Linked DNA regions of Lepisosteus oculatus. The protein of the gene in region 2 interacts with the protein of the main gene of each other region in a pairwise test. Links are inferred from orthologs where the notes say so. Each region holds a gene or a part of one and is shown on either strand. Other genes may lie near its edges.

The links. The genes of interacting proteins can lie anywhere in the genome.
Region 1: the proteins of apip (region 2) and tnpo2b interact in binary tests that used the Homo sapiens proteins (3 or more experiments, as listed by UniProt). The two-hybrid records come from large-scale screens. The link is inferred for Lepisosteus oculatus from reciprocal best matches to the Homo sapiens genes APIP and TNPO2.
Region 3: the proteins of apip (region 2) and nudt18 interact in binary tests that used the Homo sapiens proteins (3 or more experiments, as listed by UniProt). The two-hybrid records come from large-scale screens. The link is inferred for Lepisosteus oculatus from reciprocal best matches to the Homo sapiens genes APIP and NUDT18.

Annotation. Positions count from the first base shown.
Region 1 is NC_090706.1:13,311,073-13,318,000, reverse strand, and holds the start of tnpo2b (transportin-2), read left to right. Parts: upstream 1-3,908; 5' UTR 3,909-4,141; intron 4,142-5,694; 5' UTR 5,695-5,695; coding exon 5,696-5,794; intron 5,795-5,909; coding exon 5,910-5,985; intron 5,986-6,121; coding exon 6,122-6,271; intron 6,272-6,928. Other genes in the region: il12rb2l (interleukin 12 receptor, beta 2a, like), read left to right, coding at 1-11, 269-412, 993-1,062, 2,079-2,181, 2,383-2,694. UniProt on the Homo sapiens protein: Probably functions in nuclear protein import as nuclear transport receptor. Serves as receptor for nuclear localization signals (NLS) in cargo substrates.
Region 2 is NC_090716.1:14,265,541-14,273,447, forward strand, and holds the start of apip (methylthioribulose-1-phosphate dehydratase), read left to right. Parts: upstream 1-4,892; 5' UTR 4,893-5,127; coding exon 5,128-5,181; intron 5,182-5,676; coding exon 5,677-5,777; intron 5,778-6,706; coding exon 6,707-6,755; intron 6,756-7,907. Other genes in the region: pdhx (pyruvate dehydrogenase protein X component, mitochondrial), read right to left, coding at 760-843, 3,460-3,595. UniProt on the Homo sapiens protein: Catalyzes the dehydration of methylthioribulose-1-phosphate (MTRu-1-P) into 2,3-diketo-5-methylthiopentyl-1-phosphate (DK-MTP-1-P).
Region 3 is NC_090697.1:68,281,185-68,288,624, reverse strand, and holds the start of nudt18 (8-oxo-dGDP phosphatase NUDT18), read right to left. Parts: upstream 3,021-7,440; 5' UTR 2,977-3,020; intron 2,683-2,976; exon of another isoform or gene 2,590-2,682; intron 2,038-2,589; exon of another isoform or gene 1,981-2,037; 5' UTR 1,943-1,980; coding exon 1,784-1,942; intron 805-1,783; coding exon 591-804; intron 1-590. Other genes in the region: disintegrin and metalloproteinase domain-containing protein 9, read left to right, coding at 3,905-3,989. UniProt on the Homo sapiens protein: Mediates the hydrolysis of oxidized nucleoside diphosphate derivatives. Hydrolyzes 8-oxo-7,8-dihydroguanine (8-oxo-Gua)-containing deoxyribo- and ribonucleoside diphosphates to the monophosphates. Hydrolyzes 8-oxo-dGDP and 8-oxo-GDP with the same efficiencies.

The sequences.
Region 1 (6,928 bases), on a different chromosome or scaffold from region 2:
TAATGTGACAGGTGCGCCCCCTGGGGGACAGACGGGGAAGCACAGGGTGCTGTAAATGAGGGCTCGGAGCTGGGGGAGACTGTGGGAAGCTGAAGGAGATCTGGGGTGTGTTTTTTCTGACACATGGTTCCGGTGGGGGTGGGGGTCAAGACACAGGACACACTGCACAGTCACAGAACCTCTTCAGAACACGGTCCGGTCTGTCCAGTTTGATCAGCAAAAAGACCCGCGGTGCTCTGACCCTCCTGTAACTCTGTCGCCCCCCCAGATTACACTGTGGGTCCGGAGAACTGCAGCCAGGAGCTGCAGGACCTGAAGCCGGGCCAGAGGTACCAGTTCTGGGTCCGGGCTGAAACTGGAGCTGGAGAGGGGCCAAAGAGCATTGTGGACTTCACCACCAAAGACAAAACAGGTACTGTACCACTGCCCGCTGCGCCCACTTCCTCTTCCTCCTCAGCCTGTCTTCCTCTTGTTCTGGACCTGACCTGGCCTCTCATCTCCCTTCCTCTTCCTCTTCCTGTCTCATCCCCCTTCCTCTTCCTCTCTCCCCTCATCCCCCTTCCTCTTCCTTTCTCTCCCCCCTCATTTCTCTTCTTTCCTCTCCCCCCTCATCTCCCTTCCTCTTCCTTCCTCTTCCTCTCTCTCCCCCCTCATCCCCCTTCCTCTTCCTCTTTCTCCCCCCTCATCTCCCTTCCTCTTCCTCTCTCTCCCCCCTCATCCCCCTTCCTCTTCCTATCTCTCCCCCCTCATCCCCCTTCCTCTTCCTCTTTCTCCCCCCTCATCTTTCTTCCTCTTCTTCTCTCCCCTCATCCCCCTTCCTCTTCCTTTTCCACTCCCCCCTCATCCCCCTTCCTCTTCCTCTCCCCTCATCCCCCTTCCTCTTCCTCTCTCTTGTCTTGTACTTCCTTGGTGTCTTCAGGAGGGTGATCTCGCTGTCTGTGGGTTTGGGGCCATGGTTCAGTGTGTGAATGACTTCTGCTCCTCTGCTCCAGATCTCCCTGTCATCCTGGTACTGTGCATTCTGGGACTGCCAGTAGTGCTGGTGACAGCATTCTGCTTCAAGTAAAGAGCAAGAGAAGTTTATTTGATTTTATTTAAGAAAACTGTCAGTTATTGTTATGCTACTCTGTGACTGTGCTGTGACTCTCTGTGACTGTACTATATCTGTGGCTGTGCTGTATCTCTCTCTGACTGTGCTGTATCTCTCTGTCACTGTACTGGTCTGTGGCTGTGCTGTATCTCTATGTGGCTGTGCTGTATCTCTCTGTCACTGTACACTGTACTGTGTATCTCTCTGTGACTGTGCTGTATCTCTCTGTCGCTGTGCTGTATCTCTCTGTCACTGTACTGGTCTGTGGCTGTGCTGTATCTCTATGTGGCTGTGCTGTATCTCTCTGTCACTGTACACTGTACTGTGTATCTCTCTGTGACTGTGCTGTATCTCTCTGTCGCTGTGCTGTATCTCTCTGTCACTGTACTGGTCTGTGGCTGTGCTGTGTCTCTCTGTGACTGTGCTGTATCTCTCTGTCGCTGTGCTGTATCTCTCTGTCACTGTACTGGTCTGTGACTGTGCTGTATCTCTCTGTGACTGTGCTGTATCTCTCTGTCACTGTACTGGTTTGTGGCTGTGCTGTATCTCTCTGTGACTGTGCTGTATCTCTCTGTCACTGTACTGGTCTGTGGCTGTGCTGTATCTCTATGTGGCTGTGCTGTATCTCTCTGTCACTGTACACTGTACTGTGTATCTCTCTGTGACTGTGCTGTATCTCTCTGTCGCTGTGCTGTATCTCTCTGTCACTGTACTGGTCTGTGGCTGTGCTGTGTCTCTCTGTGACTGTGCTGTATCTCTCTGTTGCTGTGCTGTATCTCTCTGTCACTGTACTGGTCTGTGACTGTGCTGTATCTCTCTGTGACTGTGCTGTATCTCTCTGTCACTGTACTGGTTTGTGGCTGTGCTGTATCTCTCTGTGACTGTGCTGTATCTCTCTGTCACTGTACTGGTCTGTGACTGTGCTGTATCTCTCTGTGGCTGTGCTGTATCACACTGTCAGTGACAGTTCTTGTTCGTGTGACTACAGGTGCTCCTGCAGAAACCAGTTGGTGCCGTCGTGGTGCTGTGAGAAGGTACCTGACCCGCAGAACAGCCGCCTGTACCTGATCCTCAAGATGCCACAGCTGCAGGTCTGTCTCACTGTCCGCGTGTCTGTCTGGGGTCTGTGTGTCCCACTGTCTCCCTGTCCACATGTCTGTCTGGGTCTGTGTGCCCCACCGTCTCCCTGCCTGTCTGTCCATGTGTCTCCCTGGGGTCTCTGTCCGTCCGTCTGTCCACGTGTGTGTCTGGGTCTGTGTGTCTCACTGTCTCCCTGTCTGTCTCCGGTACAGGAGACCAAGGAGGCCGTGTGCCCTGCAGTCTTTCTGCTGGACTCCATGCTCTGCCAGCTGGAGGTTGTGGAAATTCCTCTCGCTCCTGATCCCGGAGAGACCATCGCCAGCACGGAGAGCGCAGAGGAGGGAGGGGGACAGGGGGCCGAGATCTGGAGAGAGAAGGGGGAGAAGGAGCAGGGCAGGGAGGGGGGGTACAGTGAAATGATCAACGAAGAAGTGATATCAGGTCTGCCCTGCTCCCCCACTGATACCCAGCCCTTCTTCTCCGATTACGAGAAGCACTTCATGCCTTCTCCGCTCGACCTGTAGGGGGCAGTATGCAGAAGGCTCTCCACTTGACGTGTGTGGGGCAGTACGCAGGAGGCTCTCATACAAATTGCCCCTTGGGACTCTGTCTCTGTTCACGAGGGCGTGTTGGAAAGAGCTGCCCAGCTACCCTGTGGAAACTGACTGACTGATATTGATCCCATGGGAAGCAGCCCGGATGGGATACTGGGAGGGCGGATCGAAGGGATGGGATCTGCTCTGGGCGTCTCCTCTGGGTCTCGGAGTCTCGGGATCGGCGTGAATGACCAGAACCATCAGTCTGGCTGACCTGCTGTACTCCGGCTCCGGGTCAGAGCTCTGAGCTCAGAGCTCCCGCTGGTTAAAGGTGTTTCTGCACCGGACGGCCAGCAGGGGGCTCTCTCCCCGGGGGACCAGGCGTGCTGAGGCAGTTATTCCCCTGGGCCTGAGGGGACACAGAGCCTGTTCCGTGGAGGATGTAAATGTCTGTGAACTGGCTGTGCTTGGGGCCTGTCCGTACACCTCTGGGGATGTGAAGTTATGTGGCGGGAGGAACAGAGAGCAACAAAGTTGCACATGCGCTTTCCCTCTAGATTATACCATTCTCAGTGCCGGTTTGTATATAAAGAAAGATTGTGGATAGAGATTTTCTCGTTTTTCTGGTGTGATTTTTTTTTTTACGTTTTCTGTGTTTTAGGTGAAATAAAAACAGTTGCTTAAACATCTGCACTGCCAGAATGCAGCTCGTACTCAGCACGGGGCGTTTAGACGTGCTTGTAAGGGAACTTGAGCTCCAGCAGCCTGTCTCACGCGTGGAAACATATCGCGGGTCTGTGACACGTGTTGCACTGCTGCCGTAGCACCTTAGGCAGTACACAAAGTTGTGATCGCCCGCCATGTATATTTCACTTTTTATACATCAGCCTGACGGCGGCTGACGCCGGATACCCTGCGGCAGGAGAAAAATAAAAGGTGAGATGAAAGACTCCCATTTTCAAACCGAAGACATCTTAATCACTACAAAAGCGTGAAGAACGTCGGAGCCAACATGGCGGCTAGATTCACACAAGGGCTTTGGAGAGAGAAGGCAGTTTCATTTCTCCGACCCTAACCCGGCCACCATTGAGGGAAACCGCCGCAGCTGCCGCAGACGGCTAAATGCCGCCTTTCCGGGCACGTGACGAAATCTGCACTCCACGATTGGCTGGGAGACCGGAAAGAGCGGTGGACGGAAGCCGGAGGGGCTCAGGCAGAATTATTGGGGTCGAGCGCGCGCTGCTTTGCTTCCCACTCCCTCCAGCGCGAGAGCGAGCCGCAGCAGCAATAGCAGAAGAAGGCAGAGGGGTTTTGCATCACGGCCGCGATAGCAGTAATTGAATACTGTTAATAAAGCTAAGCTAATCAGTAATTATTTAGGGCCGCGCCGTGACGATCCAGATTTACATACTACACTACTCGGCGAGATCTCCAGGTGAGAGTTCTGGCGTTGTTTTTGCCGATTTGTAACCCGTGTCTGGAAGCACGCAGAGGGATTTCGCGTGAAAAGGGAACGGCGGGTCTCCGACCTGGGAAAATTTAAAAGTTGCGCCTCATTATTCGCCCAAGTGTTGTATTTTGTAAGCTCGAGTACCCTTTCCAGGCGTGTGTCTCCGCACAGAAGGCAGCCGGGTTTCAGCCGATAGGCGCTTGCGGCGGAAACCCGAAACGAGGCCGCTGCGGCCTAGATCCGCGCAGAAGCCTGGGGCTGTCGTGATTTCCACACCGGCGGTGCGGATACCCATCCTGGCTGTAGGAAACTGGTGGGATTGGAGGGCTACAGATCTCCTCTGGTTGGGGACAGAGACCATGTTTAAGAGGTGTTGCAGGAATGGGCTGCTTCAGGGGTGAGGGGCGGTGTAGGTGATTGTTTAGTGTGGTGGGGAAGGCAGCGGCTTGCCCGCTGTCCAGACGAGCGATGATAATGACGATCGCGTGGGTTAGAGGGACCATGGGATTATGGCGGTTAAACCGGGTCAGGCTGAGATTTATATCCTGATCTGTTGGTCTCTTTTCGTCCCCAATCCGATTATAAAGTATAGCCCTGTGGCCGGAGGATTGAGAGGCGGTAGGTCCCGTACCGTTCTCCGCGCGGATACCTGTGGCTGTGCAGGGAAGTGGGCCGGTAATGCAGTTTTCCGGGCAGTATGTAGAACTGCTGTCTGGCGATAACTGTCTAGATTTCAATCAACTGTAATGTTACAACAAGGGATTAGTTTTCTCACAGTAGGAGCTACAGTCCCAGTGCAGTAGAACAGTCCTGTTACAATAGGAGATACAGTCCCAGTGCAGTAGAACAGTCCCGTTACAATAGGGGCTACAGTCCCAGTGCAGTAGAACAGTCCTGTTACAATAGGGGCTACAGTCCCAGTGCAGTAGAACAGTCCTGTTACAATAGGGGCTACAGTCCCAGTGCAGTAGAACTGTCCCGTTACAATAGGGGCTACAGTCCCAGTGCAGTAGGACAGACCCGTTACAATAGGGGCTACAGTCCCAGTGCAGTAGGACAGACCCGTTACAATAGGGGCTACAGTCCCAGTGCAATAGAACAGTCCTGTTACAATAGGAGCTACAGTCCCAGTGCAATAGAACAGTCCTGTTACAATAGGAGCTACAGTCCCAGTGCAGTAGAACAGTCCTGTTACAATAGGAGCTATAGTCCCAGTGCAATAGAACAGTCTTTTTACACAGATTACTGTTGTGTTACAGTAAAAGCTGTGGAGAACAGCTTTATTCAAAGAAAGCTCGTACTGCTAGGAGGACAGTGGAGCTTCTGCCACAGCCACGGTGGGCTCAGGGTCTGGCTACAGAGTCAGGGATACATTTGTGACCGCAGTGCCTTCACACCTCACACGACGTGGCTCTCCACAGGCAGTGGCTGTGTGTGAGCCCGCAGCTCTGCCGGCACGGGCCCGGCGCCCCCCAGTGCTGCTCCGCACTGCTGTCCTGGCTTGCTTTCTCACGGTGCCTTTTTCTGTGTGTGCGCAGGATGGAGTGGCAGCCTGACGAACAGGGGCTCCAGCAGGTCCTCCAGCTCCTGAAGGACTCCCAGTCTCCCAACACGGCCACTCAGAGGGCCGTCCAGCAGGCATCCTTTACTGGCCGCGGGGCTGGGGCGGTGGGGTGGGAGGTGGGGGTCTGTGTGGTGGGTCTGGGTCCACGGTACTGTGTGCTGCCCTGTTGTCCTTAACTGCTGCGCTAAGAAACTGGAGCAGCTGAACCAGTTTCCCGACTTCAACAACTACCTGATCTTCGTGCTCACGCGGCTGAAGACGGAAGGTGAGTGTGCACAAGTCTGGGGAGCCCCAGCTCCGTCTTCCTCTCCAGGGGTGATGGGCCCGAGGTTCTGCAGTCGCTGGCTTCACCGTCTCCTGTCCTGGCTCACCTGCTGTCTTCTCCCCCCCCCCACCTCCAGACGAGCCCACTCGCTCCCTGAGTGGGCTGATCCTGAAGAACAACGTGAAGGCCCACTACCAGAACTTCCCCCCCACCGTGGCCGACTTCATCAAGCAGGAGTGCCTGAACAACATCGGGGACCCCTCCCCCCTGATCCGGGCCACCATCGGTGAGACTTGGGGGTGACGGGAAGAGGGGGCGGGGGCTAGGACTGGGGTAAAAGTCCCTTTCGCTCTGCTGTCCTGCAGTTCTTACTGGCAGGGCACTTGGGACACTCTATTGCAAAGGAGGTGAAAACAGTGGTAGGATTACTGATCACGGAATAGTTCTTTGACAATGATGTGGAAGCGCTTAGAGAGCTGAGAAATATTCTAGCATGTAAGTACAAGTTAAAAGTTTAAATAGAGATGTATCACATGTGTTCAAATCCAAAGAGCTGAACCTTGTTACTCTGGAGGAGCAGGCTATGGTCTAGATTTCCAAAGCCTCAAAGAGACACTGACAGAATCAGTCTAGCGGATGTCTTCACAGCTTGGGGTGGGGCAACTACAGTGCAAACGGAATGGAAATGGATTTGTAATCACTTCTTTAAACAGGATTGTGGGAGTCGGGCTCATCGCTTGGTTACTAAGTACTGAACGGGCTAGATGGGCTCTCTTCTCTCCTGACTTCACTCTCACTCCTCCTGTGTGAATCCGTATGTAGTGTTACAAATAGCTTTTAGCAGAGCAGTGCAAGGAGCAGTTAGGATCGGAGAGGTCAGGGATGTACAGCCCATTATGCCTGATGTGTTTCTAGTGATGTAATGATCCAAGGATCACATGCT
Region 2 (7,907 bases):
CATGTCTGGCCACCATTAGAAGCAATACAATCTATACATCCATGACGCATGTCATGCATCAGGGTACAGATTCAGTCTAACCCGTCCTATTTCTCTCTCATAATGCCTCTTCACTAGTCTCTATGCTAGCTGCTAGATAATCTTCACAGCTCATCTTTCAAATGTTTAACAGGGCTCCAGTCTGCACATTCAGGCAGCCACAGCATTCTTACAAAATTCTCTTCTCGCAAGAAAGCCACTGTCAAGAAGCAGCAGATGCACACATGCGAGTTATCCTACTGGAATGCTGTCATGTCAGTATGAGACCACATCCTTCACCCGGGAGAGTGAGGGCCCAATCTGACTGTACAGTGCTACAAGTGGAGCTCCAACAACTAAACGGTACCAGACCTTTCCACATGGGCCTCCCCACCAATCCTGACAAGGTACTACGACTTCGTGGTCTCCCAGATCACAGCCTATTATTGATGGACCGCATCGGGCCATAACATCATAACACTGCCATAGTCCAGCTCCCCACAGATGGATGAACATAGGGGTTTATAGAATCCTTTCTGTGTGTTTTTCTTTTTTTCGAATATCACTCCACATGTTTAATAAGCTCAACCGCCAGCAGGATGAACTTGTGAAATAAAGAAGGAAGACCACAGGTGGACTGTGTTGTAGGACAAAACACTCCAAACGTATCGTTTTGCAGCAGAAGCACTCCTTTATTTCCTTTTGTTATGACACAGCTGCAGCAGACAGGACCTCTCTCACCTTCCCTCTTCAGCCACTTGACGATGTTGCCCTCCTCCATGGTGGGGGAAAGAGCTGGCATCATCACTTTGACTGGGGCCACTCCTGAAGGACAGAAGGAAACACACCGACTCTTACAAGCAGCAGCAGCCACAGAGATGGGTGGAGGAGGAGGGTTACCAATAAATAAATTAATTCTCACACTTTATGAATCGTACAAAAACTTTACGGGACTATGTATAACCCAATTTATGTGACCCAAACAAATGTAATGTTTAAGGTTAAAAAAAAATCCTGGAGCAAAAAGTCCAGGTCTAGAAAAAACAGCCTTAATGGTACTGGACAAAAAAAAAAGAAAAAAGAAAGAGAGCACTGTACAAAAAGTTGACTGGATGATTCTAAAGTGGGAAACCACACATGAAGGGATGTTCCTGCAGATTTTTTGATGACCCCAAACCACAAAGTATAAAGCATTTAATTTAAAAGAAGATTATGGTTAAGGTTTGTAAAGCATTTGTAACACATGAGTTTGAATATTGTGCTTAGTTTTGCACACTATTCCACAAAAAGGATATCACAGCCATGGAAAGAGTTCAGACAACCAAGACAAACAAGAGTCCTTACCTCAAGAGGTACTGGTTTATCCAGACAGATTAAAAGAGCAGCATGTCTTTGCTTTTAACACAACAGAGCAAGAGGAGATGTATTACATGTGTATAAAACTGTAATGGGTACAATATACAGCAAACATAGTTAACCCAGGGGACTACTTCACCAAAAATGAATACAGGATCACAACTGGAAAGTAGCAGGGAATTAATTTAAGGTAGACTACAAAAATAACAGAATCCTTCTTGACAAAAAGAGTTGTGGATTTCTGCTCTCCCAACCAAGTAGCTGAGGTCCCAAACTACTTCAAGAAAAACAAAATAGACGATAGACTGGAATGGTCTAAGAACACTCAGGGTATCTAGATGAAGGGTCAGAGCCAACTTTACTTCTTGAGGAGGCTCAGTACAAAAAGTAAACCGTGATTAAAAAACAATTGCAAAGAGACTTTGCTGCCCCCTGCAGCCCCTTTGAAGAATCACAACAAAATGGAATTATTGTTCATTACTATTGCAATGATCGAATTAGCACTTCTTTTAAAATGCTTTCCACCCAGTTGTTCTGATTGCTTTTTGTTAATGAGTTCTACGATACCTTTTAAAACCTACTAAAGACTAAATCGTCAATGACACCATATCCTAATAGTACATGATGCTTTAGATCTAGCAAGTTAGACCGGTATAATGCATGGTTATAAGGAGAAAACAAACTGCATTAGAGAGATAGCCATGCAAAATTAAAACATGTAGCACTGATGAAGGCAACATGAAGGCCATGCAAAGGAACAGTAACCAAAGCAGTAACAAGAAAGGGACAGCCAACCCCAGTTGTACTAATCGACGCTGTGTGATGCAGGGCCTGAAGCAGAACATCATACAAAGGACTGCTATGCTCTAAGGGGGCAGACAAGCATGCCTTGAATGTTCTCTTTTTTTTCCTGCAGAATTTAAAGACTAATCACAAAGTAGTAACAATATGACACAAATCATGTATGAAAAATGATAGGAGTTCATAATCACTTGGTAAGGATTACTCTTTCATCTTCTCACTACCTGGAAAGATATAATGAATAAAATAACAGGATGTATACTGCAGCTGACTGTTCTCACCGACACTTATTATTGATGGCCGATTTTCAAAGTCTTGGCTTTCCATTGGATGGAAGTCAGAATCATGACTAGAACACTCAATAGCACTCACTTTCTGTTGTTCCACTTGAATGTAGCTTTGGACTCATTTTGTGGGTCACTGCTCTGATGAAAAGCGAGTTTTCATCCCAGTTTTAGGTTGGCTACTATTCTATCACATAACCTTCATATTGCCTTTGTCTCCCTTTAGCAGACAGAAGACTTTTTTTTCTCCTTTAGACAAGCAGCACCATAACATAATGAAAGGTAGAAATAGTGTTGAGTGGACTATGCAGTTTAATATAGTTTTGTTCATATACTCAATTTTACAAAGTTTATGTAATAGAAACATGCAGGGATCAGCAACAAGGTGGTGAGGTTGCCGTTAACTAATGCTACAGCAAACATGCTGATTACCCCCAGCCTATTCCAACATAAATCAACAACAAGATATAACATAATACACATAAAATGCATATTGTGAAGTAGTCCAGCTGTATAGCTGCGTTAGCATGCGTAGGCTGCAAAGGAACAAGAAAAGGTTTATTCCTGAGAACACAACGTTTCGGCTATGGAGCCTTCTTCGGGTGTGGACGGTGGAGGAAGGGTGTGCCACCGGAAGAAGGCTCAACACCCGAAACGTTGTGTTCCCATTCTTCTCTTTTCAGCAGGAATAAACCTATTGCTTGATCTAATGCACTATATAAAGAACTGCAATGTTATGTTTATGAATTAAAATCTAAACTCCTAATGTGTACAGTAACTTGAGATGATCAACGTTAAATGTCCCCGTCTGTTGTCTATTTCTGGCTTGTACGTGTACTACAATTTAGAAGGGGAACCGTGCGTGCTAGTCTTAACGCTTTAAAAACTTTAAAACAGCGTAAAAATAAAATACAGCAGTACAAGTAGCACACAACCTTCCATTATAACCCAGCCAGCGATGTGCGTTTTGGTTTTTATCATGTGACACGCCAACACTTACCAAACATTGGTGAGGACTGAAAAAAGTGCCGATAATATCCATCCTGAGTTTGGGTTAAACCGGTGCATTTCTTCAGTTTTATTAACCTCAAACCACTCAATATCCCCCGATGTCCCATCCGCAAGGAGGCCGCCATATTTGTGTCCTCGGAAATTACCAGTTACCCTACTGCCTTTCAAAGTTTTGCGTTTCTGAGTGCAGAAATGAATGGATACGTTTTTTACTGCATGTTTCACGTTAGTGCTGTTTAACGAAAATATGACATTTTCCCACTTATTTTAAATAAAACAATTTAAATTTAGGCAGGATAACTAACTACAAAAACAAACGACAATTGTGATAGAAGGACCCCATCCATGAGAAGAGGTCCTTCGCGCTTCTTGTCGCTTCCTTTATACGCAAAGCCTGCAGATCTGCGCAGATCTCACTGCACTCGGCGGTCGGGCAGGCAAGAGCAGAGCTGCATGCAAATTTCGACTGCTAAGCCAGAAAAGTCTGCAAACTCCGCACTGTTGCATATGCGCAGGCAAAGCCCAGCCCTTCCAGTTTAATTCAGTGTAGGTGTGTTATACAGCTCCCTCCTTAAAACATTATCAGTTGGTACCCAAACACCCAAGCTACTAAAAAAAGTAGGAGGAAGTAGGATATTAACCCTTGCTGGATTCTTCTTGTGAGGACCAGAGTTGTGCACCTGTGTTCATTTTGCCCTTGAGTTGTAGTTGATGTAATCTCCACCTCAAGCCAGGGGTTTTCTTGTGAAAATGTGTCCCCTGGACACAGGAATGCGGCATGTCACACTGTAACATGTGGATTTCACAATGTAGAGTAAATAAAGCAGGTTGGGATGATACCTTTTCACATCCACATCCTGCTTACCTCATCTTTTGCTGAATAGGTGGTCACCTGCTCCATCTCTTATTGTGTTGGATGAGAAGGGTTTGTAGCAGGAGGAGTTCCTGCAATGTTGTGCCTGCTTCTCTGCTGTATTTTGACAACCTTTGTTTCACAAAAATACATTGTGAGGGGGGAAGAACAACAGACTGGAGGCACACCTAAGGTAATTTAACACTTCTGACAGTAATTACAAGTGCAGTGTCAGTATATCTCTGGTGTCAGTTTACCTCTCTGGTACACAGAACCCCAGTTCCTATAGCCTTTATAGGTTAAATCATTAGCATCTTAGGAACACTCATTTGTTTCTCAATTAAACAAAAAGAAATGTTCAGTTAGTTTAATTCTGGTACTTGTGGGCTGGATAATATTCAGATTTTCAGAGCTGCAGATGATCCAGCAAGCTGTGCCTCACGATGATACCAGCAACATGCGCATCTTGTCTTCCAGAGTTACCGAGTTTACTGACCGGGGCTGCGCAGTGACGTCACATACGACGTCACATGAAGCGGACCTGTGCAGATCTGTGCAGACGCTGCGCAGACTTATGCAGCAGGGAGCAGCAGGGAGCAGCAGCCATCGAAAACCAACATAGTGGCTGTACTGTTTAGACTTTCTGTGCCTCAAAAACGTGAGGGGTGGGTGGCGAGCGGTTTTCGTTTTCATCGTCCTGTTCTTTAAGGCGTTCTTGTGACCAAGTACACGGTCAAGGAACGAAAGCAAGTTTAGGCCTTAATTTAGGCATTAATTTTTATTTGCCGAAGAGTATTGCTAAAAATGTCTTCAGCGGTCTATAATCGCGACTGCTCTAAATGTGCCCAATCTATTGAGGTAAGTTTATCCAAAGTTGCTTTCTCAGAAATATAAAATGTGTTTACGTTACGTAACAATATTGAAGTTTTCCCCCCCTTTAAATCCGGACAACGCGAATGTCGATGATATAAACGTCGTTTACGCTGCCATGTGGTCAGCCTGCTTTTAGAAACTTTCAAGCAACAGACGCACATAATGCAATGTGCTAATTGTCCCTTTTAGCGTTTATTCTGTGGTATTGCCGCTGAATTATTATGACGTTCCACAATTAAATAATCACTCACGTGACAGATACCTTCGACATGTATTTTATTTGCGAGTTGTGGCCTTGCACAATTAAGAAATGAGCAGTATATTGCAACAAAAACAGCACAGATGTTGAGCTGCTCTGCACCGGATGGTGGTCAAGAATACTCCCTAGTGCCCTACTCCTTGAACTGACTGGACAGTAATGGAATTTGCTTGAGACAGAATGAGATTGCCGTTTGTTTTAGTGAATATTTTCCATTCCAGGACAAGGACAACCCAAGGTTGCTGATTCCTGAGCTCTGCAAACTCTTCTACCAGTTAGGCTGGGTGACAGGAACAGGAGGGGGTATCAGTCTCAGGCAGGGGTGAGTATGCCAAGCCTGAAGCTTAGAAATCTGGTGTGGTCATCCAGTGTGCAGCACCAATTCAGAGAACAAATGCCATTTCATAGAAAGAGTATGAAGTGAAGACAATCTTCATTCAGTTGTGCCCATTCAGGTTTGGGAAGGTGTGAGAGGCCGGTGACCCCAGACAAAATGTCTTCAAGGTGTAACTCGCCTTGCCATCTGGGGACAGAGCGCAGATCCTCCACTGTGCGTGCTGCGCTAGGCGTGAGGAAAGGAAGCCAGAGGCTGACCCTGTCAAGCCTCAGCCCTTTTAAATTCTCACCTGACCACTTGTCCTTGCAAACCGAATCTCCATTTTGTCTGGAGTCACTGCCCTCTTACAGGAGACTACCGTCTACTCTCTCAGCTGTGAGCCTAAATAGTAAGTCAACAGTGTGCTAAATCTACTGAGGCTGAAGCAGTAGAAGCATGTGCACTACAATGCATCTATATCACAAATGTATAAAGAGGTTGTCAAGAGGTAAACAGGATAACAGTGTTATAGGAACAAGTAATAGGTTTATTCCATGTTGAAAAGAAAAGAAAAAAAAACACGTTTTGGCCGTGGAGCCTTCTTCAGGTGTGAATGTGTGTAACAGGGATATTTCATCAAGATAAAATCCCTCCTGTAAGTTACTTTAAAATGTGTCTGATTTATACTGGTATGTTTTTTTTTTGAGGTGAAGACAGTCCTTTGTCATGTTCATGTGTTAGATTAAAAAAAGAGTGTCCAGGTGATATAGATTACATTCTTTATTGTGGAGAAGACAGGTGTAACTTCTCATTGGATAAAGGCAGTAACTGTCTTGTTCAGTTAAAATAAAGCAAGTAGTTCTTGTTACTTCACTTAGAAGCAAATGCTTAATGAGATTGTGTTCTGACTGTATCTCTCTGGCCTACCCCTTCAGAGATCACATCTACATTGCCCCCTCAGGAGTGCAGAAGGAAAGGATTCAGGTCAGTAAAGATCTCTGAGGAACTGCCTGGGACCTGTAACTGAATACCTTTTGAGTTTAATGCCTTTTTTCTCCCCTTGACATTAGGTGTCTGGTTAATGTATCTTATCTCAGGTATCTAGTCGGATAATATTTTTTTAGCTTTCATATAAGTCAGATATATCCTAGTACAATTTTAAATACAAAAAAAACAATTTTACCAATAAAATACCCAGATTGTTCAGAGTACGGAGCTGTGTTGGCATGTGAGCTTCAAATTAAAAGTTAAAGGTTATTTCTAAACTAAAAAGTAAAATAAGGACATATTTGTGGTGTATTAAGGAGAAAGTGTGTTGGATAGCAGAATGCTGTATCTTCTATGCTGTCTTTCTCCAAGCATGGAAGCAGTAGATTAATGCTAAGATCTCCTAATCTCTAGAGTGCTAGCAATCAACTACTGCACTTTCTGCATCACTTTGCAAACTTCCTTCCACCACAAATTAAGTGTTAATGTATCTTCCACCCATTTCCAGAACATAAACTTTAGTGTCAGCTACCCAGGACAAAAAAAAAACGTCTGTGTGTTACAACCCATGATAACTAATTCACTCAGTTATCTTCTTTTACAGCTCTTTCATGCGTGACACACAAGCTGAATTAGAATTAGTGTCTTTAATTAGAAAGGAAAATAGCAGTAAATTGTCAAAATACAAAACAAAACCTAACTGCTTTAGAGCCCTAACAAAGCTCTTCTCAAGTTTGTCGCTGAGCACAAAGTTTGGCAGAAGTACTGTTTACTAGCACCATCATATGTCTATATACTTTATTAATCATTGTCCTACTTGTCATGTGTAGATTCTGCTCTCAGGCGTTGAAAGCCTTTACTTCCTTGTTTTAGGTCATCACTTGGCAAATTGTCTTCCTTCTACTAGTAAGGTGATAAAAGGCAGCAGGTTATTCCCCACGTCATTCTGTAATTAAGCTGTATTTATCTTAATTATGTTAGCAATTAAATCTGATTAATTTAAGAAATATTGGCAGTATGGCCTCTGCAGGCATTGGGGGCCACACCTTGAAGCCACCCAAAAGAAGAATCCATGCTCCTAAGGCAGCTCAAGGAGTGCGAGGGGCTATTGGCCAGCCGACATCAGCCGCTCAGTGATATGTTGCTATG
Region 3 (7,440 bases), on a different chromosome or scaffold from region 2:
GAAGACAGAGAAACCAACTCCTAACAACTGGTTGAGCACACTGGTCTGAGAGATCTCTGGATTATAATCTATTGTAATAGAATTGATGCATCAAATCCTTTTGATTTCATCTCTTAATTCCATCATCTCCACTTAGAAGGCAGGCTCCACCTTGAATTTTGCATTCATCCATTTTCTAATCGTTTCTTTCAATTCAGGGTGGCGGGGGAGACAGAGTCTATACTGGCAAGCAGCAGGCACATGGCAGGATGCAGATGCCAGTTCATCACTGGGCCCACTCAAACACAAACAAGCACACACTCACGCCTGGGTCATGTTTCCTCAGCAGCCAATTCACCTACACGTACTGTATGTCTTTGGACTGTGGGTGGAAAACAGAGCACCCAGAGACAATGCACGTGAACACCGAGAGAATCCCAGTAACTGAGCCCAGGGTTCCCAGCGCTGCAAGGCAGCAATGTTAACCTCTGCGCCTCCCCCTTGTATGTCAGTGCCTCACAAACTCGATTCTTCCATCCGGTCACCAGTGTCGTTCTAAAACACGTTGCCCTGCACCAAGCTCTAAAAGCCAGTAATAAATTCTGCACAACCTGTCGCTCGGGCCAGAAAAGTGAATCGGATCCAGCGCGGGCCGTTCTCCTGCACCAGGAGCAGGGTGACCGGGTCGCACTCCAGGCCCGTCTCCTCCCTCACCTCCCTTCTCATCCCCTCCACAATGCTCTCGTTCTCCTCCATCCTGCCGGCGGGGAGGTACCACTGCCCGTGGCACTCGGGTTTCGCCTCCTGCATCATCAGCACTTCGTTCTGTGAGGCAGGAGGCCAGCAGACACACAAGACACACCATGAGGCCGGAGGCATCCCTCAACGCGCTCGTTTGCATGTAGGGTATGGGTGCCGCAGGGCTCGGAGACACAGAGTGCACAGGATAATCAAGTCACTGGATATTCACTCATATCGTCAACTAAAGATAATCATTTACTAATCCTTACTACGATCTTTTTCTCATTAAATCTTTGTTGTAGGCACTAGCTTGTGTGGGATTTTAACTACATACAGCTGTGTTTCTAATATTAAAATACGGAGCAGTTTGGCTAGTGGAAGTAAAAGAATAAGTAAAAACACTTTAGGACACTGTTAATATTTCTATACTTTAATATGTATTTAGTATGTATGTAAAAAAAATACTTATTGACTTCAATCAGTGTGCTGTACCTAATGGTACCAGAAAACCATAAAACGTTTGTATTTAAAGCCAATAGATGGCAGTATGAATCTACAGGGTCATAGAGGACAGGAGCTTAGCACTAAAATAAAATAACTGCTTGTTGAGGAGAGTGATACACAACTCTTAAAAAGCACGGGCTTGAAAGTAATAAACGACAATTTAAGTAAGTGCTTTCACAGACTGAAATACACAATTTACCACTGAGTTGACGGCGGTAATTACCTTCTATTGGCTAAATGGAAGCTTACAGTTGACATTTGTTTACATTCGTACAGCGTTTTAATCCCAAAGAATCTCAAAGCTCTTCAAATAAGAAACCTGCTTCTATTGAATAAACACTTCACCCTTCACTATTGTATAAAGATTGAAAGTACTGTATTTTGTACTATTCTATTTTTTAAATTAAAATCCAGAAGAGTTCTGGTTTGGGAAGTCCAGTCGGTTAGCTGGGCTCGGGTACAAATAACGTTTCTAATGCCGCATGGCACGTTTCTGCTCTCCGAAACAAAAAATGAATCCAAAACGTTGAAAAGCTATCTTCCGGTCTACCGCGTTTACCTTTTCGTTAAAGATGACGCCGCAGACGATGTAGCAGGTAGTTTTTCTTAATGCTACCGACTGCAGGTCCGGAGCGGAATCAAACCGCTGCACGGGCGAGCCTTCACCGCTCAGAATCTTCTCCAACTCGTCTTCCACTGTCCGATGAGCCGAACCCATTGCTGGGGAAAGCGAAGTCCCGGTCCGGCCCGAACCTTCTGTTTATAATCGAAGAAATTCGGCGACTGAGTTTGGTTTGCAGATCCCTTAACGGGCTTAAAGAAAATAATATAGGGAAGTTAACTTAAATATATATAATTTGTGTTTTGGGCAACGCTTGGTGGAAACATGTGATCGTCACTAGTTTCACCGAGAAGAAACTCGTCTATCGATTAGCGCTTCAATGCACCTTTTTTAAAAGGTAGTTATTATTGCATCATGGAAACCAGCGATCTGGTGCATTGTTCCTGGGTTCAATTCATAGCTGCGTAGTACACAGAGCTAAAGCACCTGACAAATGCTGATGGATGCAGATGTACAATGTTGTGGTAACTGTATCCACCGTAAAGATTACTGGGAGGGCTCATAAAATTGTAAAAAAAAACTATGATTAGTAAGGAGCTAAATGCAACGTCCTTGGACTGGACTCCCAAGTGCCTCTGCAGCAACCGTGTTTTTTCTGCTACTGCCCAGGAGTCATTGAAATCAAATCTGTATTGTTTACCAAACCAGAAATCTCCGTCTGACATACATACAAAAACAAACTCAGCAAAAGTGTTTCGTACATCTGTCAACAACCGGAAAGTGGACATGCAATTCAGTTTTACCTAAAACGCAGCTCTGCTTTTACTGGTACGCTAGCTGTTTTCTTCGTTAGCACGTACAGTATATGTTGTACAGTAATAACAGCGGAAGTCCAGCCCACCCACTGTCGTTGGCTGCGAGCTAAGGGATAGTAAAAAAAGTCCAAGATACCATTATAACGCACATAACAAAACGCGCACAAAAGGTTTGATTGCACAAAACAGATACAGTACCTGCAGAACTGCGTTTTTTCTTCTGTAGTCTCACTGCTACAGATAGGCTATCTATAAAGTGCTTTTCTTCAACATTCACATGTTTAATAAGTATTTTTTTGTGTGGCCGGCAATGTATCCTAATGACAAGTCCTAAATGTAGCATACAATTTGAACCATTAGTTATCTTTTGCTTACAGCTGCGAGTGTTCTACTCCTCCAGAATAAAAGATGATGGTCCTGGTAAATTAATTTACGAATGACAGGATAGTTAATATTTTTATTTACTGCATTTGTTGACGAGTCGAATTTACAGCTCAGACTTCAGCCATAAATGGACTATTTACTTCGATAACTACTTATTTTGGATGCATTTGGAGCTCTGTAGCTTATTCTCAGCACGGTCTTAAATGGAAAACAGTCAAAAATGAAGAAACAGCTGAAGGAAGGGATATGCATTTATTCATGCGTGCAGATTATTTGTACGAATGCGCCTAAATGTGAAACCTCTTCCACAGACCTTACAAATAAACCCTTCCATCAGCATATTTAGAGTAAGGAGCGCGTCCTTGAAAAACAGACAACTGTAGCTAGCTGCTGGCCGAAGTACAATCATCGTTACTCTTCACTGTGCGGGCTTGCAGCGACGTTTTTTCTTTGTATCCTCTTTCTAAATTGTCCTTCTTCAACAGCTGCTGCTGCCTGGTACGTGTGCCAGGCGTACGCCTGTGTGCGCGGAAGAAGAAGGGTTAACCTTAGCTACGGGCCCGTTTGTAGAGTGACGCATGCTCCGTGCAGTCCACTCCACTCGAACTCAATGGATAGCCCAACCTGAGCTGTCCGGACAAACAACGCTGGGAAGTCAGTGAATCAGCATATCTAGTCGTTATTGCCAGCACATGGTAGTCATTTGTTGTTGTTTTTTTTCTTTGAAAAATAACCGCTCATAAAATAATCTGGGAATTTGGTAGAGAAAAACAGAGACAAAGATGGCTCGATAAAGGTTGTCGGAGGTGGTCTACTACAGTATGTGGAAAAGGCATCTACTTCTTAGGAGGCAACGCCTGGATAGAGGAAAAAGAATTGAGTTGTTAAGCGATTACGCCGACTTTATTTCTTAACGAAGATGGGTAAAACTTTGCCCCAGAGCTGCTTTACTTTCGTTTTTTGGGGGATTTTGCTTTCAGACGGGTTCACCTACGGTAGTAAAAGTAAGTGACGCCGATCTATTCACGAATTCAGACTTCAGTAATTAAGTCTACATTTTTACTCAAAGCTGCTCTGGCACTTTGAGTACCATACTCATCGTCGTAACCTACAAATGCAGCCTTTTTTCAGTTCAACAACCTGCCGAGAAACTTTTGTGGTCCACCGTTTGTGACCGTCTAACATGTGCTTCGCTATGTTTCTACACGGGTCGTTTTGAGAAACGCGAGTTTCTAAAAGCTGTTCCGTAATGATATTCTTTGCTGAATAATTTGTATACTCCATACAGCCCATTTAATTGTCCACTTCAAAAGTTAATGGCAGTTTGAAGGTGAATGTTGTAGGTAACCGAGGTGAATGAATTGGGGCTGGTGTTCTTGGGGAAGCCTTTGGGAAAAAAAACGACGCAGCGGATGAAGGGAGTTTTCGATTATACGGTTAGTGAATACCTGCCAAGAAAACTAACACAGTTCACATCGTACATCATCCTGCTGTCCTTGCAGTGTCGCTTTGAGATGGAAATAAAGAGGTTGGCCGGTATAGATTAAAGCGAGGTGGTGTGTACACCCAAAACGATTGCATGTACAGTAGTGATAAAATCCCCTTGTCTCCCTGTGTTTCAAATAATCCATGTAGTTGTTGTGTTAAATTGGGCTTCTTGAAGTGTTGCCGTGGTGGGAAAACATCCAGTGTTTGTCAACCTGCACGCTGCCACATAGTTTACACATTTACGAAGAGTTGTTCGTTTAAGTATCATCTACTGTAGTTATAAAGGGTCTTGGGTGTACAGTCTTGGCAGGCGGTCTAATCGTGTGTTTTAAGCGTTTCCAGTAACTGGCTTTAAACGGGAACAGATTGTGGTGGTGTCCCACAGACGCATCGTCTGATTGAAGCGGGTTTGACAAATACTTTCTGTGGTCTACAACAGTTGTCCTGCTTTGGGAGGTCTTTCACCGTAAAGGCAACACATCGATCTGTTGTGCTTGCTGTGAAGATTTGTAATTTTACTCGATCTCAAACGGCCGCCTATTACGATTGTTATTGTTGCCAAAAATAAGTTCTTCAGTTTCATCTTTTTTTTTTGGAGGGCGTCTGGCAGTCGATTTTTGAAAGTAATTTAATACTTGGATAATGCTATTGAACATGCCTGGATTGAATCGTTTAAATGACAAATAGATCCTGTTCAGAGGAATTCTAGAAAATGATTGAAAAGTAAGTCCTTTATTGTTGTAGTTTAACTGAAAACATGACAACATTTGTTTTTGCTGCAGTTGTGTGATATTTTTTTCCCGCTCAGACTCAGGTAGGACTGTACACCTTGAGTGGTGCTGAATGGGTTGTCAAGCCTGTTTTATAGGTTCTACGATCTGAAGTGCTTTCACAATAACGAGCTGTCCAAACACCTCCCATTTTCTACAATACCGCTTGTCGTTTTGTTTTTCAAGAATTAAACAATTCTTTCCACAGTTTGGAAGCAGAATGACTTTTTCCCATCAGAGAAGCTAGTCTTGGGGCCCATTACTTTTTATTATTGAGATGCTTCCCCTCGCTCGGATTATAAGCGTAGTTTCATTGTTATGCAGATATTCAGATTTACGTTAAAACCTCTTCTCCCTCGGGATCTGCCGCCTCCGTCAGTTATCGCTGGTCTGCGTAACATCATACTCTGCTTGACGTCAAAGTCCTTGGAAGATAAGTAGTGATACAACGGAAATGATATTGACGGGCAGCAAATGTCAGCTGGGAAAAGCTGGAGAGCCTTACAGCGACGGTGGATGGCTTCCCCATTCAGTCAGGAATCTGCTCAAATTCTATTAATATCCGATGCTGTGAACTTAATTCCCGTTTTTTTTTAATAAAAAGGTTCGATTTCTCTAACTCTTTGCTCCAAAACTCCAAAATATGTACAAAACTCTACAACTAGAATTCTAATTCACACCAGACCCTATAGCATATCACTCCTACACCTAAATTTCTACATCGGTTGCCTATAAAATGAAGTGTTCAGTATAAGTCCTTGGTAGTGACATTTAAAGCTCTTAATAGGCTCCATTCCCATAGGCTCTGTTCTGTTGGGACTGGTCCTTTGCTCACAGTAGCCAGGATCTTGGTCTTCTGGTGACTGTGCCTTTGCAGAGGCTGCTCTGTTGTTATGATTTGCACTTTCTCCGGCTCTTCAAGAGACAAATTATTCGACTCTTTTGAAATCTAAGCCTAAAACTCACCTTTTGTATTAGGACCTATGTCTGATTGCCCTACAGATGATCCTGTATGTTCTTGTTCCGTTTTTTTCTTCTTTTGCTGATCTCTATCACTGTGTACAGCATCCTTGGGATTGGAAAAGTGTTTTATAAATAAAAAATATTTCATGATCCATTATGCAGTGCTTTCAGAACTGTTTTCTTCCTAAAAAAAGTGTCTTGCCAGTCAGGATCCCTTTTCATTGAGGTGTAAATTATCAGGAATAGTGTGGAATCTGAGAGGACTGGGCTCAACTCTGACAGCACCTATACAGTGGAAACAGCCTTAGCAAATACATCATCTCAGATCCTTTGATTGCTGTTTAGTAATTGTTATACTCTAGCCCCCTCACATCTAAGTATTTAAAAACTATAATGCATAGTTTTATTTTAAATACAATAATGGATTTTTAAAGTCTACGCTGTCTGTATTGCTTTCATTACTGTATTTTGTATTGACCATGACAAGATTCAGAGAACATCTTTTGTTTCAGGCCATAATGGAAAATGTCCTTTGAATGCCACAGGCTGTTTTTTGTTTTGACAGACCAAGCCCTGAACACTGTTCCAGAAGAGTGCTGGAAAGTGCTGTCTGCCATCGTATATCTACTGTATTGTTCTTTTGTAAATAAATGACTAGCCTTTTGATTTTTCTTAACATTTCTAGAAGCTTGTGGGTTTTCATTTTTTTTGTATTTTCTAAGGCCATTTACAGAAACTTTGGTTTGGATATTTTTCTGTATTTGTGCTGAAAGATAGGTTTGTCACAATAAGAAAACATTAATACTGAAGTATTTCTGGGTATTCAGTATTTTATTTCCTCATTTACATCTCTACTATGTACAGGGCTGTTCTGGATAACGTAAACCTCTAAGTTTTATTTAAGCCTTTAGTTTCGCCAGCAGCCATATCACTCTGCAACTCACAACTGGCAACCCACTGAAGCTCAGCAGGTGTGAGCCTGGTCAGTACCTGGATGGGAGTCCTCATGGGAAAAACTAAGGTTGCTGCTGGAAGAGGTGTTAGTGGGACCAGCAGGGGGTGCTCACCCTGCGGTCCATGTGGGTCCTAATGCCCTAGTATAGTGACGAGGACACTATACTGTAAACAGGCGACTTCGGATGAGATGTAAAACCGAGGTCCTGAGTCTCTGTGGTCATTAAAAATCCCAGGGTGTTTCTCGAAAAGAGTAGGGGTGTAACCCCGGCATCCTGGC